4 linked regions of the Arabidopsis thaliana genome follow. The protein of the gene in region 2 interacts with the protein of the main gene of each other region in a pairwise test. Each region holds a gene or a part of one and is shown on either strand. Other genes may lie near its edges.

Region 1 (5,866 bases), on a different chromosome or scaffold from region 2:
TCAACAAATTGGAGCAATGAATTAGCAGCTAAACCGGATCTATACAGATAAACCAATAGAGATTCTCAGAAACACCAAAAGATGAAATCGATGCAGAGCCCATACCTTGGACTTAAAGTTAGAAGCAGTGAGCTGAACCACAGGTGACGAAGATCCATAAAGAGCACTGCTGAGATCGAAGAATCCAAAACAAATAGTAAGAAGTGTGAGCAACGTTAATGGTGATTTATACATTTTTCTTCTTCCCCTTTCTCTCTTTCTTTTCACTTTCTTCTGTAAAATTGTATCCTTTTCTCTCTCGCGATCCTGCGAAGCAGCAGATTTAAGAACACAAGCTCCGTGGAATTACGTAGTCTAACCAATAATATCCTGACACATCAGCATAAGATGTCGCTTCGTTTTCTTTTGTAACATTAACTAGGCAAGCCTCTGGCTCAGAAAGAGGGTTACTATTTGTGTTGGGTTCCAAAAACTAGTTAGGTTCAACATTTTCTAGTTGCTGCATCAAGGAAATCGAATATACAGTTTGATAAAGAAATAGAAAAATCATGGAACTTGATATGTTGAGAATCTGAAAATTGTGCTAAAGGATGTCAAGTTTTATTAACCAATTCAAAACACTGTTCTTTTCCTATTTTGTTTCAGCCATTGCTGTCTCCGAAACCAAAGAAGAAGAAAAAAAAAAAAAAAAAAAGATAGAACATTTCCAAGCCCTCTTTCCAAAAAAATTAACAAAAAGGGCAGAGAGATCATTTTGAGACCGTTAGATACCCCTGACAGGGAAAGACTCTGCCAGATTGTGAGATCATGATCGTGATCATGTAGATTTATCAGATGAATCCTGCACTTTTGAGCTGTCCAGTTCTGCAGAATCATCGTCTTGTTTCTCAGTCTCTGCATCAGGTTTATCATTGGGCAGGGAGGTTGAATCAGAGCCGTTTGGTGGCAATGAGTCCTCCACTTCTGATTTTTCTGGTTCTGTTGGACTATCGTCTTGTTTCTCAGTCTCCAAGCTTTGAGCTTCTGCAGCAGCGGGTTTACCATTGGATAGGGTAGTCATATCAGAGGGGCTTGGTGGCGATGAGATCCTCAAATTAGTTGAAACAGGTGGAGCATAAGGATAAGGAGTAGGCAGAGAAGACATGGCCAAGCCCGTATTGTTATAAGGGTTTAGCAGCATTGAGTGATCAAATTTGCAGTTTGCTCCAAACTTGCAAAATCCGTAGGCCTTGAAGTTACCACATGCTGGCTGTCCCTGAACACAGCAAAATGAGAGAAATTAGTGTCACCAAAGCTTGTTGGCTTTAACAGAATAAACAGAACGAGTTGCGGAAATGTCAAGTTGGCAAAAAATAACAAAGAAGGACAAGAGACTTACTGGTCTTGCTGGAAGAACAATAGGGTTCAAGAGAGTTGGTGGTGATTGTAACAATCTTTCTTTCGGATGACTGTATTTGCAATCATCACCATATTTACAAGTTCCAGTGTTCATAAAAAACCTACATTCAGCTCTTTCAGAAAAACTGTGATGATGTGATGTCACGGTCACAGCCACCGATGCGCTAGAACTGGAGTCGAGTTGAGTTTTCATATTGTAAATGGGGTTAGATGCAGTCTGCACCACGGTAAAAAGGAAAAGAGAGAATTTTCAGATTAAGACAATCTATTGCAAAATAGGAATGTTGTAAAAGAAAGTGAAATTTGTTAAAAGCAGAATCTCTGTCTATTTATTGTAACTTCACAGAGAGAAAGCAAGGTCTATGCACTGAGAAACTATATTTAAGACTTACCATGTAAGTGGCCCAGCCTTGAGGAGGTAAAAGGCCTTGGGAGGGTGCAACCATGTAGGGCATATAGGCCTGAGACTGAGGAACTTGAGGACGTGGAATAGCTCCATATGTTGCAGGAGGCAAAGACACCATTGTCATTCCACTGGCATAAGGAAAACCAACAGACGGAAAGCTGGACATTGCATATGCAGAGTGGCCATTAGAAGGCTGAGAATGAGGATGAGGATGATGGAATTTGCAGGCAACTCCGAATCGACACAATCCTGTCTGCATGTAATATGGACATGGCTTCTCACCCTGGAGAGAGAAGAAACATATAAAGTTTTCTATCAAGTATGAAACTGGTGGATGAAAAGCAGGCTATATGCAACGATGTAATCTTACCTGCCGCATAGGCAAACCGAGAACATTGAACAGCACGGGTCCAGCACCATTCCTGTCTTTAGGGTGGTGATATTTACATGTTGGGCCATACTTACAGGCTCCTGTCTTCAGAAAATACTGCAAAGAAAATGCATACAGAAGAGGAAAATGTTCGTTAAACATCTTCAGAGAAAAGTAAAACAATACGGTGCATCAACTATCCAAACTACTGTATTAACACTTTCCAAATAAGGAAAGACTCAAGACAAGGTATGTTTTGCAGCATAATGTAAGCAGTGCACCTCACAGTCAGGCTGTCCAACTCTCTCAGGCAATTGGTCTCTGTAATAAATAATACCCTGCAAAATGTTACAAACTGTAAGCTCGAGTATCAGGAAAGATGAAGAGAAGATTCAGCCATATAAACTAAGTTTCTCACCTGTGGAAGATTAGTAAGAGGATGATTGTATCGACAAGAGTTTCCATAGCCACACTGACCAGTTCTCAGAAAGAACTGGCAATCTCGCTCACCAGGACGATCAGGATATGGACTAGATTGCTCCATATTGTCTTCATTAACTTTCATCCTCCTGAAGGTATCTACAAAATCATAACACCAAGAACATTATATATCTAAATAACAAGAAAAACCAAACTCAAATCATAAGAATCCACATTCCAAAGACAAAAAGACAATGTCAAACTTTAAATCCGACAAAGAGCAATCAGAATCAGAACAATATCACACAATGAAAAAAAACATGATCTTTAACTTCCATAAATGTAGAAGAAGCATTCGGAATCAATGATCCGACAAGACGAATCCAACAAGATAACTCCAAAAAGACAAAACTCTAAATTTTCGAACTTTTAAGACTTGAATGATCAGAACTCTCAGAAAAAATAAACGAAATCACAATAAGACTTGAATGATCAAAAACAACAACAGAAATTATATGATCTTCAAACACATTACGGAAAAAACCCGTTTCGTTGGATCTTCAATGAAAAAAAAGAGAGTAACTACCTTCAATTTTGTCGGGAGATCGAATCGACCCAGTAGAGTTCTGAACCTGCTGCTGAGTTTCCGACATGGCTCGTTATGAAACAAACACAGTCACAGACACAAAATCAAAACTCGTCTCTAATCCTCTGAGAAAAAATCGTTTATGAGTTGTATGTAAGTAGAGACGATGATCACAATGATCAAACAAACGAAAAGGAAACAAACACAAAAGGAAAATAAGATTTTTCCTTTTTTCCGATGAAAGATCAAACGAAGAACAAAATGTGAAAACTTGAAAAGAATAAAAAACGATCTCTTAAATTTAACTTTTTTTTTGTGTCCCAAAGATAGATTTATCGTTTGAACAAATCCAAAAGAAAAGAGAAAAATCTCAGCCCAAATATTCCAATAGGAATGAAATTTTGCCTTATTCTCTGCTTGGCGATTTCCTTTCTTTTTCCCCAGAATCTGAGATTTTCGTGGGAAAATTTTCGGATCTTCCTTTTTGGTTTTTTGCCTCTTTTTTTTTCTCCCAATGTAATGAAGAGTTTCTTCTTCAATGTGAAAACGAGATCAAATAATAATATAATAACAAATATTGCATTTATATAATATAATGAAAATAAAAATAACAGTGCTGAGTAATGAGTCTTTGCCCCCCCCCCCCGTGTACGGATTAATAAATTCTGCCGGTCCATCTGAAATGACTATATTACCCCTATATGTTCCTTTAACTCGTTTGCGCGTGGTTTAATTTTCAATGTGTTGGTTCGATCTGAGCCGTTGGATACAAACCTTGTGGGACCCCCTCTATTCTTCTTCTTTGTTTGGGAACCTTATTTAATAAAAATTAATTTTTTTTCTCTTATTGCATTTTAATTTAAACAAATGAAATTATGCTGCCTAAAAAAGCTATTATATGTTAATTAATCTTAATAGAGTTAATACTGAACTTTTCAATTGTATAATGTAATCTTAATGTAGTATTTATTTTTTCATAATTAATAACTCAACATACTTTTCTAAAATAATTTATTTCTAGCACATAGTTTTAGCACTAAATTCAATAAAAAATAGTGATAAACTTATGATTTAATATGAATGTAAAGTGATTATAATTTCTTAAATGTTATCTCTAGTTATCAACATATTCTGATCTTTTTATAAATAAGTCTATTAGTGTTGTAAATTGTTTATTTTTTTGGCCAAATTAAGGTTTGTTAACATTTAATATGCAATCACACATGACACACCTAATTTGAAAGCAGTTTATTCGCGTATCTAAATGACGGTGCGTGGGTCCTTTTCTTAATTATTATATCTTCTCACTAAAATTCTACAGATTTCCAACTATATTATGCTGAATGAATAAATGTATTTATTGACTCCTGATCTCTATAAACAAATTGATGGTATCATTAAAAGATACTTAATGTTGATCCAAATTGTAACTAATGCTGTAAATTAATTAAGACTTACTGTATAACTTTTTTTATGAAAATAATTATGTCTCATTGACATATAAGCTCAATTTTTTACCAAGATGTTATTATGAGAACAAACAGAATATAATGAAACATGTATTTGATTAGAGATGAAATTATCTAAGACAAGTTTGTAGTCTATTACATCATTATTATATTTTATTCTTCTACAAATGAATCTACTATTTGATAAACGACTCTAATTTTGTTTAGCATTTGAATTATACCCCATTTTACAATTGACTCCACAACAAATAGTTTTATTCACAATACAAAAAACTACGTTGAAACTTGAAAGTAGAAACTAAACTATTTCTTCTATGAGACATTATAAATTCAGAATTTAGGGGAAATATAAATATATTATTATTAAGTTAAAGAGAGAGAAAGAAAAGAAATTGATGGGTGTTTTCGTCATTTAGTGTGGAGTAAAGGATAAAAAGGAAAGCGTGAGCTACACGGTATTTTATTTAATGAGAAAGGTAAAAAATACTGATTTATAAAGATTAAGGGAGCTTTTTTTTTTTTAATAAAATAGAGCCTCATACTAAAATGTTCTTCGTACGCTAATCTGCGGTTTGGACCAGTTTAATTCTGCTGTAGGGCCCACGCTGAATCCTTCCTTAATTTGTAGCTGCTTAATGACCAATACTGTTGTACTCAGTACGATTGATTAAGAATGCACACTAATTGCAAAATTCAGGCCACCAGTTTGTTTTCTTTTACGTGAATTTTAGTTTAGTTTTTATAATACTTTCATATAATAAGTTTATGTTTATATTAGAAAACGTTATGAAATTTAACATGCAAGAAATTAGATTGTAAGTTAAATTATTTTTGTGAAAGGAACTTAACTCAAATAATCATGAACTATAATATTTTGGATTTCTATCCATCAGTTCGAATCTATATCTAAATCATGAGTTCAATAAGTTCGCTTCCAAACTAATACAAATAAATTAGGTTTAAGAGTTAAAATTTTAAAAACAAATCGAATGTGAATGTTGAATCAACTCCACTGTCTAATTACAAACAAAAATACATAAATTTAATGATCATCTAATTAGTTGTTAAATCGGTTTGATAGTACTCTTCAAAACCTGTTTTTAGCTGAATCTCTTAGAATTACGACCAATTTGTTTTGTTGTTTTGGGGTAAATTTCGATTTTAAGGTAACGCACGATATAGCAAGCAATTGGGTTTAAAAAAGAATAAATAATAAA
Region 2 (4,445 bases):
GGAAGTCACGAGTGAAGCATATAAAAAACTTTGGGAGTGCCAAACCGAAGCATGCAGCAATATCATTGCTCTAGAGTAAGCTCTGATCCCTTTTGTTGCCTGTTTTTCTATTCATCTTTGAATTAGCTTAATGATTTTCATGTTTCTCTTTGGGGTTGGAAAAATAGGAAAATGCTAAAACAGTGCAAAGAGAAAGACCAGCAGAACAAAGCTGTTTCAGAAATTGATGATGTTTCTCGTTTGCCTTTATCAATGGTGAGGACAAAAATCCCTGTTACGTCATGTCACTGATATGTTTTTGAGCTGATGAAAAACAGGTTCTGAATGTTTTTTTGTTGTCTCCTTTTCTTTATCCACAGGAAAGCTGCAGAGAACTGTGGAAGGCTGCCCAAAAGTTACAAAGCCAGCTCTCTGAGATCATCGATTCATGTGATGAAACCGTGGTTCCATATTCTGTATCTCCAGGATGTGAACTCGAAGGTATAAGCAAAGGATTATGCAAAGAGGATCCCAAAATGAAGACTCCTCGTGGGAATAATGGATCTGAAAAACCCTCCACACAGCTTGAACAGAAGGAAAGAGAGAAGTCTTCCAAAAAGAAACCTCAGGTCAAGAAAACGAGAATCAAAAGTCTCAGAGACATAGGAATAACAGCTGTGAGGAAATCGCCTCGATTCAGCTGATGATACTCATCAAAAAATGCTTCCGGAGAGCATGATATCTCATAAAGGTTAGGTTGTTATTTAATATCAGTATCTACATAAGTGCAACATCTTGAAGAATTTGAATATAAATTTTTAGTTTTCATATAAACTTCTCATGAAAGAACAAGAATGTGCCTGCTAATGAGACATTGATGCTAAAAGCTATTAACATTCTACAATCTTCTTTTACTACTAAGAGCCAGGGATGAGTTGAGATGAGACTCTTCTCTCTGGCACATCACAGTACTACTAGCAAACACCTTTTTTGGTCTCTTCCGTTTTTACCCCTGTGGAGCAAAACTCCAATTCAAGAATGGTTTCTGCTCAGGCGGATCCTGGAAGGAAGTGAAATAATCAGACTGATACAAGAACTGAGGGACAAAAGCGTCAGGCTGCAACAACTCCATGGAACTACCAAACATTGAAGTATCAAAAGCTTCCAAAGCATCCTCAAGCTCTCCCCATTTAGGCTCGCTCTGAACCTCCAAAACATCCGGTGACACCACGTGACCGTGACCACCTGAGCTGCTGGAATCATCCTCTTGCAATGTCGGGTAAGTCGAGTCTGATGTATCAAAAGGTGATGATGACTGTTCAGCCATTGTCGTGGTCCTCGGCTTCTCATCCGCGGGGAAATACTTCTCCATGGTTCCTTTCTTGTTGTATATTCGACATAAAACCCAATCATCAAGCTGTACAGCAAAACCCACCACAACAAAGTTAATAATCTAAATCATCATTCACGAAAAGATGATACATAAGTTAATAAGAAACAGAACTTACTCGTAGGTTGTTCTTTTTGTTAACAGAAGCTGATCTATCAACATTAGCGAGACGATACTCATGCATTATCCAATTGGTCTTAATCCCTTTTGGAGCTTTCCCTGCGTAGAAGACGAGTGCTTTCTTGATACCCAACGTCTTCGGTTTACCAATCGGTTTATCTGCTCCGGTAGCTTTCCAATAACCGGTTCCTGCTGCCCGGTTAGGACGCGAACCGTTTGGGTATTTCCGATCTCTAGGTGAGAAGAAGTACCACTCTTTCTCTCCGTACAGAGACATCTCTGAAAGAAGAACAAACATCTCAATAAACAACGATTCTCGAAGACACATGATTTCGCGAAAAATAATTAGAAGAAGCCCATAGGTGTACCTGGAAGCTCCCAAGGATTGAACTTGTAGAGATCAATCTCGGCGATAACCGGAGCCGAGATCTGCTCGGAAGCACATTTCCGGCACAAGTAGAATTTCACAAGCTCCTCGTCCGTTGGATGGAATCGGAACCCAGCTGGTAAATTTAGCTCCGACTTCATTCTCTTCTTCTTGTCTGTTGCTCTTGGAAAAATCTCTTCTTCGTTGGTTGAAAATTCAATTTCAGCTGGATCTGGATTTTTTTTGGGTTTTCTTCGTCTGCTCAAGATTGTAATCGAGGATATGTGAGTGAGGCGACGAAGGTTTTATAAGGACGAAAATCGCCGAAATGTTTTAATTAATTTAAATTGAAAAAACACAAAAAACAGAAAAGAGATGACACGAGGGGATTTTCAAGCACGTGCGGCAAAACAGACCGTTTTCTTTTCTACGCTGACCGCAGCCAGCTGGATATATACGTGGCGTAATATTATTGGATAGTCGACTTAGATGTTGTCATTGCTTGCGTCACTTAAACCTTTTGTGAATTGTTGACCGACTTTAGACCATCTCCATTGGGAAAGAGAGTGTAGAAAGTTTCTTACTTGAGAAACTTTGAGATACTTTACAACCCATCATGACAATTCTCATCTTACTATTGGTTCAATTTTTTAACAAAAATACTTTTTTAATTAAATAATTAAATTATAATATAATATTAATATTTTTTTTGTTTGAGAAATTTTGTGGATTTCTCGTAGATGGAAATGCCTTTATATGTCAAACCGTAATCTCCTGCTTCTCAGTGTAGCTTATCGCTTTTGTTCCTTTACTTACCACTAAGATTTACCACTAAGATTTAAAAAGAAAAATCTCAGCAGCCACTACTTTTTTATGATATTGAAATTGACACATTATTGTAACCTTGCTGAAGATAAGTCAGCATTTCTTGGGGCGGAAGTTGTAGTTTTGACTGGTGATTGGACAGTTTGATGAAACTACGGTGAGCATCTCCGCAGCTGATTAATTTCCTTCTTCAGGCGAAGCTTTGCGTCATGATGGATGACGTCATTTAAAGTTGCAATCGCCAATCATAGTCACTAATTATAAATACTCTCGACTAATAATACTACATTCACATAAATAAAAACATTGGAGTTCGCAAAGAAAGCGTTTGCGCTTTAGTTTGAGTTTCCCCGTTACATAAAAATATGTGTTAAGGACAACTATTTAACCACTAGCTTAATCCTTAATTAAGTACCCATTGAGCCGCTTTCATTACAGACTTAATTTATAATTCATAAGTTTGATTCACTAGCAAATAATGCCCATGAATCCTCTTCTATTTTAAAATCTTTAAATGTAAAGTTGAGGTAGGTGTGTATGCAAGCATGACGTGGGCTTGTTCCCCGTTTTATGATCATCATCACTTACGTTTTCTATCATATTATAAACTAATTATGATCGATTCAACGTAATGTTTTATAAGATCATGGTCTTTTCCTTTTACTATTAAAAGTCCCTTAGTAGCCAAATTAATTATAATACGAAATATTTGTGGTCAAACATGACTTTTTGTTGTTGTCAATAAGGATTCTTTATCGATATAAGAATGCAAGTTATATAAGTCGTATCATTTCATACACATCTTTTAGGCTTTTAGCTAAATAATTTTCGTGCACTGACGACTTCATTTTTTTCTGTCGTTTTAGATGATAACAGTCAAGTCTAGAATAAAAGATATGACCACTAATATTAAACCAAAAAAAGAAAACAAGAAAATATATAAAAGACATCGTAACGCATGATTTGTTCCTATTATAAAATTCAGATCAATTGGATCTGGACTTGATCTGAATTTTTATGATAAAGAGAGAAATCGACTTTATAGTTTTTTTGCAGTTGTTTGTTAATTTAGTCGCGGTGTGAATTGAAATAGGAAGCTTCGTGGAGCTTGATGTTATAGCTGCCGAACTTGACCCAAATTATGCAAATATAATGTTTTGGTGATGGATTATTACCTTTATGTTTTGTCGTTTCTAGAAATTTACATTGGAATATACTTGAGAATTTGGATAAGGAGGAGACAACTTGGGACCTCATTGTCGGAACTTAGAACCTATCGTTAACAACAATTAGTATCACATATACTACATACTATTCTCTATTCATATGACTACTTGTCTTATTCTTATGTGCGTGCGTATGACAAAAGTCTTACTATATAACATTCGTTTGAAACCGTGCATATATTGTAGTTAATTCTAGCATTTTAATTGGAATGTTTGAGTAGTGAATTATAAGTTTATGATAGATTTCTCCAACCTTCCGAGTTTCTAAATCGAATTTACTCAAAGCTCATACCTCTTATAATCGTGTGTAATAAACAACTTGCAAAGTTTCTTCAAAAACCAAACTACTTGCTAATTGCAAAAAAAAAAAATCAAATAAATACATCCATTTGTCACACCATTTTGTCCCTCTCTCTCAATCAATTCGTCACCGCAACTTAAAAACATCGGCCCAATTTGTCTTTCTCGACACAACAACTTAGGAAATAATGGGTCACGTTTGGGCCTTAATTTTGGGTCACTTACGGAAAACGGTTTC
Region 3 (4,021 bases), on a different chromosome or scaffold from region 2:
CAATCTGAATATTTGGATTTATTGTTAGTTCTTTTGAAAGTAAGGAATTCCTGTAAAAAATAAAAAGGTAAAGAAATAACCTAAACATATGCATTGTTGCATAACTTTTTGTGGTAAATATTAGCTACTAATTGCAAACGACGACAAAGAATAATATTACAAAATACAATGATTGATAGAATCTCAAAATAATACTCGTTGATACTCCATTTAGATCAAATAAAAATGATAATAGGAAAAAGATTTTATCGAAATGATACGTACCACACCGAGGGCACTGTAAAAGAGAAATCGTAGTCTCCCATCAATAGATCTATCAAGAAAGGAAACATAAAATCAACAGAATTAACTTAAGAGAAAAAAAAACAGAATCACCCAAAACATAATCAAAATCTAACCGGATACATCGGCACTTAGAATCAATGAACATATATAAATGCAACCAGTAATTTACCTTTGCCTTTGGCCCATGTCAGTGAATCTATACAGAAACTTCAAAAAATAAATAGTCCATAAAAGTTGCAGGAAAACTGAATCAGAGAAGAAAGGAAGCGAGAGGTGGAGGCTTTTTGTAGGAAGTAATAAGTTGCAGTTATTGAAAAGTGACTATTGATTTAGTGTATTTAAATATAAGAAATAAGTAATTAGGTTTCATCTTATATATATATATATATAGGTTTGATCTATTAACCATTTTTATGCTTAAAACATTAATGAAAATGGCAAATAACAACAAGTCTCTTTCACATGAATGCCAAAACATTAATCCACAATCTAAAAAAAGACTATTACAAATATGGAATAACACAACAACCGACTTATATAAGGTATTCCAACAAGTAATTGGAGAAATCTTGTTAACCATATGGAATTCTAAACACAAATGACAAATCTATCAAAATTTATTACACACGCCACTATACTAATGCATACGAATCCTAGGTCGATAATATTAATTAAATTGTTTAAAAAGAATCCTCTTGTATAGAGAGTAGTAAATTAAAGTAGTAATTGGATTCGATTGATTGACAAATGACAAATTAACTACTTTGCCAGCCTGTATGTACCCAATAGCAACCAAATTCACCACGTTCTTCAACGGGTTTAGAGGAAAACCACTCAACCCCAAAACCAAAACAAATTATTTTTTAAAAAAGAGAGTAAATAATTATAATCAGCACGATTGACCGTCGGAGTAACACCGGAGCCGCTTCATGGGAAAATCATGCCGGAAACTACCGTGAGCTGCGGCTGCGGCATGCTGCCACTCCTCAACGAGCAAGCCATTTATAAGCTCGACTTGGCGAACACCATTTCCATCTCCAAGCATACCAACCACGACACGACCAGGTGGTTTGGACTTCCGACGACCGGCGCCGACGGGAACGTTCCGGAGTGCACCACCGGCGGTCCAGTAACGGTGGCAGCCTTTACAAAAGTGTCGAGGCTGATTAACGTTGTAGTTGTTGAAGTAACAGAACTTTGTCTCCATGCTCTTGCATCTTGGACATGCTATGATCTTATCCGGACGCTTCTCGGCCGTCAGATCCGATGATGATGATGATCTAACGGCTATTGTGGCTTCTTGCTCCGGCGGGTGTGTCTCTTCTTCATTTTTTATTGTTCGAGTGTTAAATGCAATAGTTTTGCCAAAGAGTTTAATCCCTTGAGAATCTTGAGTCGCCATGAAAACGTGCAGAGAATGGAAAATAGCTTATCCAAAGTTTGTTGGGGGTAAGAAATAGAGAAGACGTCTTTTTATAGAAAGATGATAGTATAACTTTTTAGCAGGAATTGGAGAAGAAAAGTGACTGAATTAGTGGAGATTAAAATATTTATTTGTTAAAAACTTTTTAAAGCATGTAGTAATAGGCGCATTCATCGCTTTACTTTTGGGTCTTGAATTCACATCTACACGTAAAACACGAATGCCAATGCGGATCAAGCTACAAAGCTTTCTTTAAAAAGCTAATTATTTGAAAAGTGCAATTCGTAAGTAGTTACTGTAAAACCATACACGTTTTCCCTTTTTTTCGTCCACTTACTCTATAGAATAAATGAATACACATTAATTATTTCGTAACAATTTTAGACAAGCTAGTGGATGCTTGAACGTGATCCAACTAAAATAAGATTAAATTTACTTGAAAGAGATTCTATAAACATGATCCATCTATTCACATCCGAATTTGAGTCTATGTTCATGGATTATTAACGAATTAGAATTTCAGGGTTGTCGAAATTATAGATCTTTTTTTTGATTAACTAGTATCTAGATATAAAAATATGAAACAGATACTAAAAAATAATATTCTCTCCGTTTCACAATATAAGTTGTTTTAGCTAAAAACACACATATTAAGCATATTAACTTTTAAAAAGTTCAGCCAATCATAAAAGAGACTGTAAAATATAAATAATCATAAAGTATTAAAGTAATATATAACTTGCATAAAAACTTGAAAACAATTTATAGTGTGAAACAAAAAATTTGGTCTATAACAACTTATATTATAAAACGGAGGAAATATCCAAAACGAACAAGGCAGTAACTCATGAAAAGGAAAATGTCTTGTTCAGACTTTTTGCTCTCTAATATTTTACGAATTTGATAATGATTTCTCAGTGCACGAGTCACGAGTTCCATTTTTCTAAAACTTTAAATAATCTATTATCATTAGGTTTGAAATGCAACTCTCTAGATACCTAGGAGTCTTGCCCCGGCCCATACATATTTTCTTTTCAAAGAACATTTGGATGGATTTGTGCGTGTGTATGTGTTTAAACCCCCAATTAATACTGATCTTTAGGATTGACCTCATCGTTTTTTTTTGGAAATCAAGATTGAAATATTTATCTTTAGAATTTAGAATGGATGAACTATATACTGTATATATATATTTTAGATGTGATCTAACTTTTAAGACATAGCCGTCAAAAAAAGAAATGTTTGGTAATAAGTCAGTGTTAAAAAGAGGAAAAGAGAAAGGAGTATGAGCTTTTGAGACAGAGACATCGTTACTCATATTTCATATTTCTTCCTTTTGTCAGCTCTAAAGACTTCTTGTGGGTCCTCTTCACGGTAGCCTTCTCATAAGTATTCGAATTGTTTTAAATTTAATTACTAATATCTTATACACCATGTCTTGTCGCAAAGTGGCCAGATTGAAACTATATATAAATGGTAAAGTGGGTCGGACGAATGAGCTAAGTCTGATCAATTAATGATCCAATCTAGTGTCGATGGATTGACCATCTCAGCTATAATCTCACTCAAGTATCAACGACCATAAGTCCAGTCCTAGTATGATCCGGCTCGTCAGTGAAGTTCAAAATGGATCATAATTTTCTCATGCGTTGATATTCGATTGAAAGACGGAGTCTTTTGAATGGAACATTGAGGAAAGATAAAGCAAAGCAAAGTACTTTTCTGAAAATATGCCACTTTCAATTAACCTAATCCCATATTTGGTTGACGTATATAAAATATAAAAGTAAAACTAAGGAAAGTGTTAGAAATGAAAGGAGAAAAGAAGGAAGAAAAGTAAAAGAAAAAAAAGAGAACATTGTTTTTAACAAAAAGGAAAGAAAGTAAAAAAGAGAGCATTGATCGATGTTCATCTCTCTTTTTCTTTCTTTGAGTTTAATTTCATGTTCATCTCCCCTTTAAATTGTAGTATGAATTTTCATTGGTATCTTTCTAGTCATAAAGGAACCACTTTTACATGGTATGGAAAAAGGATAGTCTATTGTAAATTAATAAAAAGAAAAATCTTAGTGATTTCAGCTTTACCGATAATGCTTTTCTTTTCAAATTTACCAAATTTAAGTAACATCCAATACAAATATGCCATGACCGTTCTTTAACGAACGTACACATTCTATTAGAGTGTATATACTTGGTTTAGTTGTGGTTAAGTTTGGTTAGTAGTTTTGGTTTAGTTTACTTGTATTTAAGCTTAATCATGTATCACTTTTACACTTAATGAAGATTTCACGATTATTGAAAGAGATAAGTTGG
Region 4 (4,505 bases), 2.8 Mb from region 2:
ATTGATCTTTAGTGCACGGTGACACCTATAACGATTTACACAACTAAGGCGGCTACAACCTCTTTAATTTGTTGGATTCGCATGACTTTTATCAAAATACATGATTTTAGAATTCTTTTTACGGTTTTCTATCTTCTTCGTGTTGAAAAGACAAAGGAAGTGTACTTTTTTTTTTTGGTTTTAATGTTAAGACAAAGGAAGTGTACTTGCTTTTAATCAACTTTTATCTAGTTTTAGGTACGGCGATGGAAGTCTTACTAGTTATAACTCTCTACGATTGGTTGCAATTTGAAATATGAAAAACATGTGGTGCGACTTCATATTATACTCTTTTGTATCTCTATTTTTAAGAGGTCGTAATCCTAATACTGTAGTTTACAACTTTTTGCAATTTATGAATTTAACATTTTAGTAGACTCCAAATCACCGGTACACTCCAAATCACTACTGGGCTTGAAAATCATGGATTTTTACGGGGTTTAAGGGATCTTATTGGGGCACAGTTTAATGGGCATTAACTATTTCTTCTTCTTTGGGCTTTGTAAGCCGACGTTGTTTTTTTGTTTTCCCTTTTCTTTTCGTTTTTTTTAGTTAAACAAAAAAAAAACAAATTGAAAGCTCGAAGCATTTGGGACGCAACACCCGTCAGGTTCATGATAATAATTGGAGGTAAATGGAACCACGAAAATGGAATATAATTCTTCTGTTATGTTGAACGATCAGCGAAGCCATGGGAAGAATATTAAGTAAAAAAGTAGTATTTAATAGTCAGATCCTTCGTCAGTTTTACTTTTAATTTGAACAAAAAAAAACTGAATTAGATGCTGATTCGAACTAATCCTAAGTTGTCGGGAAGAAAAAGCGACTCACACCAAGCATTGACATTAAAGTCAACGGTATTTACATTATAATTATATGATTATTAAAGAATATAGTATGTAAAGTCACACATATATATATATATATATATATATCATATATATATATCATATATTGGTATTATAAAACTCGGAACACTGAAAATTACAACCAACCAGACCTAATATATGGACAGCAGAATCACACAAACCTTTTCATACAAATATTTACAACAATTCTGCAGTAATATGTACGTAGAAAATGTATGTAACAAATCTATAGGAGACCACAAACTCTAGATAATTTCTAAGTGATTTAACTCCACTGCGGAAACGCATTATAATAGCTAGACGCAGACGCAGACGCGAAACTGTAATGAGGATTTGGCTGAAGGAAAACGTCAAAAGAATTGGCTGGAGTAGGAGAGAGTGCTACGTCAGCGGTCGTGGCGGTTGCGGATGCGTCTGCGTCAGGGATGTTAACAGTGGTGATATCGTGAATACTTGATCGTCTTTTGTCTTTACCATCTGTGAGTTGTCGAAGAAAATATTTCTGAGCGTGTGAAGCGACTTGCGTCGGCGTTCGAGTCGTCACAAAGCTTTTTGCTATGTTTCTCCAATCTCCTTTTCCATATTTCTTCAAACCCATCAGAAATCGTCTGTCAAACAAAGAAAAGTAAATCAATATTATATTTAGTTAACTTCACATAAGATAAATAATTTCAAGAAAGTATTTGAAAATAGATATAAATTGTAAGAAAAGTATAAATCCTAGGCATTTTAATTATCAAAAGAAATATTCTCCTCAGTGAGTTCATATAAAAACAGAGAATTTCAAGTAAATATTAATAAAAGAGATATATTTACCTCAAAATACCACAAAACAAGATTTAGTTCCAAAATTATTTACCAAAATAAACAAATTGTTAGGCTTAGAAACTTAAATTCTATAGTATTATAACATAAAATATCGATTTTTTTAGAACAAATCTTTATAACATTAATTAGAAGTAGTGAAGAAATTTGGTAGTTACAGGTGTTCGTCCTCGGTCCACGGAACTCCTTTCTTCCTCTCCTTTTCCGGCATCGGAGACCTAAAACAATCAGTCATCGCCGGCGAACTCCTCTTTCCTCCAACGACGTAATCATAACCGTAGCTGGAGTTTTCTAGACCAAAGAAATAGTCACTGTTTGCAGCGGAGGAGGCGTCGCCGCCGTATCCCGGAATGGGGATAAGTCCGGCTTCGATGTCGCTGACATCATCCTCTAGCTCCTTGTATCGTTTAATGACGTCAGCTACTGTTTTGCCGGGAATCAAATCTGCGATCTTGGACCAGCTCTCAAGATTGTCTTTGTCGTCCAGATAAGCGAGAGCTTTCTCGAACCGTTTGTTCTCCTCCGCCGTCCACGTGGCTTCTCTGACTTCTTGAAAAATCCAGTTTGTGTTTGCCGGTGAAAACATATTAACTCCTCTGTACATCGTCGACGATGACATAGCTCCTCCTCTGTTTTTGGTGAAAACTTTCGTTTTTTTCTCTAAATTTTAGAAGAGGACAAAAAACAGAGAGTGAAGAAGAGAGTCTTGAGTGACCAAGGCAAAAAAAAAAAGAAACGACTTTATTTTCAGAAATCTCTCGAGAAAAATTATTACATGGAGAAAATGAAGAGAGCATAAAGTGGATCTCTTTGGTCGTAAACGAAAAGGAAAACACAAAAGTGGATTTTGCTTTTTTATTTTATTTTTCTATATTTCACGTGATGATCAATAGGAATAATAATACATTCAACAGGAAAAGGTGTATAAAAAAGTGTTTTTTTAAAAGAAAAAATTGAGGAAAAAGTTACAGAGATATTTGTTTTTGTTTTGCCTATGTCAAATGATTTATAAAAAATATATTTTAGTTGTTGCAATCTAAGTCGGCCAGTAGAAATATGACAACTCAGTAGTGAATGTTTCTTATAAGCTATATTTTAATATTTTTTTTAACCTAAGGTCAGATAAATACTTTTAGTATGGCTTATCTATGTGATAATTAGCATATTTGTTTTCTGCTAATATGATAAATCATATAAAATTGAAATGGGATTAAGACTAACCAAATGCACGTGTCGATACATGAAAGAAAGTATAACATAATTTCTATTTTATGACAAAGAAGGTGTAACCAATAAAATGAAAAAGACCAGAAAACGACTGTTCAATGGTTTGGCCGGTTCTTAATTTGTTGTTTAATCAAGAACATAATAATATTTAACTAAAGAGCTTATTTGTCAACACGAAATAGCCCATTCAATATATAATAACACAACCATAACTCCATAAGCTAAACAAATATACAAAAACAAGTTGGAATATTACACCTTCGAAAATTACGTATTTAATTAATTTTTGGCTGGCAAACAATTTGTTTTTTAACGTATTTGTACTTTTCATTTATTTTGTTGTAAATAAACTTCATTTTGTTAATTAATCTATTTAACTTTAAAAAAAAAGTAGAGATCATACAAATATGCGAATTAAACAATGGGATTCGATGGCAAAAACTGCAGAACCGTTGTACAAGTGGGTTAGGTGGTGATCTTAATTAACCTTTAAATAAATTCAAAAGAAAAACTTTGAACAGAAGCCAGAGCTGGATGTAACCAAAGATATTTTCTTTAGTGTATCACAGTTTCAAATTTAGTATTGGTTATTTTATGTTTATTCATATAAGGCAAGATAATACGAAGAATGTATGTGTCGGGTGCTTTCATATCGTAACAAAAGTTCATATATTAATGTCTCACCACGACACCACCTCATGTGGACGGTACCACAGCTCCACTTCTAGCCAATTGAATAATTTAAATTTGGTAAAAGTATAAAGCATTGCAACCAATTATTATAGCCAACTGTCAAACATTTTCACAAACTCATGTATTTTTGTCTTTCAGAACTATTTTTAAAAAAAACTCGAAAAAATAGTTGACTAAGATTTAACTATTTGCAATACCCGGTTCAGGAAACAAATGATAGACGGTTTAAAATTTCGTATTCAAGATCCCGAAAGCATGTGTGATTAAGAACCAAAAAAAAGTATAAAGTATAATTATAATTAAACACTAGTTAAATCAGCCATGAAGAATGAAATTTGGATATTTCGATACGATGAAATACACAGAAAAATAGTTATCAGGAGTAATTAAATAAGGTAGGGACAACAAAGGAAGCCAATACCGAATTCTCCCTATAGTGTCGCTCACATGCATGATGAAACGTAAACTGTAAGTGTCATCTGCTGATTTGTAGCAGACACAAGGTTTCTGTTCCACAGAGAGTGACTTCTTCTTGGATTCTATATTTAGCAAGATTCTCTTACTATAATTAGTAAATTACTCCTTTTTCTGTCGAATTTATTACTCTTGCTTCGTTTTATTTCATTTCTATCGTTTTATGAGGAGTATTTTGTTTTTTTCTTTCTCGTTTTCTTTTAATATTGGAAATGTGACATTGCACCTACTCATTCAAAATTCGACGACAGATGAATTCTGCTTTGATAACGACTTTTTGGAAGAAAAAAAAGACTGTTTTTTTTAGTTTATCGAGTCATTAGTAGACACGTTTAAACTTTAGGTGAAAATTAAGTTCGAAATACTATTTTGTTTTAC

What was found.
Region 1: the proteins of ATAF2 (region 2) and ZFN2 interact in a two-hybrid assay, tested with the Arabidopsis thaliana proteins (one large-scale study listed by BioGRID).
Region 3: the proteins of ATAF2 (region 2) and AT2G34140 interact in a two-hybrid assay, tested with the Arabidopsis thaliana proteins (one large-scale study listed by BioGRID).
Region 4: the proteins of ATAF2 (region 2) and AT5G01200 interact in a two-hybrid assay, tested with the Arabidopsis thaliana proteins (one large-scale study listed by BioGRID).

What each region holds. Positions count from the first base shown.
Region 1 is NC_003071.7:13,965,173-13,971,038, forward strand, and holds ZFN2 (zinc finger nuclease 2), read right to left. Parts: upstream 3,786-5,866; 5' UTR 3,248-3,785; coding exon 3,181-3,247; intron 2,854-3,180; exon of another isoform or gene 2,754-2,853; coding exon 2,593-2,753; intron 2,513-2,592; coding exon 2,456-2,512; intron 2,292-2,455; coding exon 2,175-2,291; intron 2,088-2,174; coding exon 1,791-2,087; intron 1,616-1,790; coding exon 1,379-1,615; intron 1,256-1,378; coding exon 818-1,255; 3' UTR 542-817; downstream 1-541. Other genes in the region: PDIL2-3 (PDI-like 2-3), read right to left, coding at 106-234.
Region 2 is NC_003076.8:2,858,128-2,862,572, forward strand, and holds ATAF2 (NAC (No Apical Meristem) domain transcriptional regulator superfamily protein), read right to left. Parts: upstream 2,432-4,445; 5' UTR 2,018-2,431; coding exon 1,858-2,017; intron 1,769-1,857; coding exon 1,488-1,768; intron 1,397-1,487; coding exon 986-1,396; 3' UTR 722-985; downstream 1-721. Other genes in the region: AT5G08780 (winged-helix DNA-binding transcription factor family protein), read left to right, coding at 1-75, 168-255, 360-683.
Region 3 is NC_003071.7:14,413,014-14,417,034, forward strand, and holds AT2G34140 (Dof-type zinc finger DNA-binding family protein), read right to left. Parts: upstream 1,776-4,021; 5' UTR 1,688-1,775; coding exon 1,175-1,687; 3' UTR 681-1,174; downstream 1-680. UniProt on the Arabidopsis thaliana protein: Transcription factor that binds specifically to a 5'-AA[AG]G-3' consensus core sequence. Transcriptional repressor of 'CONSTANS' expression. Regulates a photoperiodic flowering response.
Region 4 is NC_003076.8:74,963-79,467, reverse strand, and holds AT5G01200 (Duplicated homeodomain-like superfamily protein), read right to left. Parts: upstream 2,597-4,505; 5' UTR 2,353-2,596; coding exon 1,892-2,352; intron 1,517-1,891; coding exon 1,174-1,516; 3' UTR 925-1,173; downstream 1-924.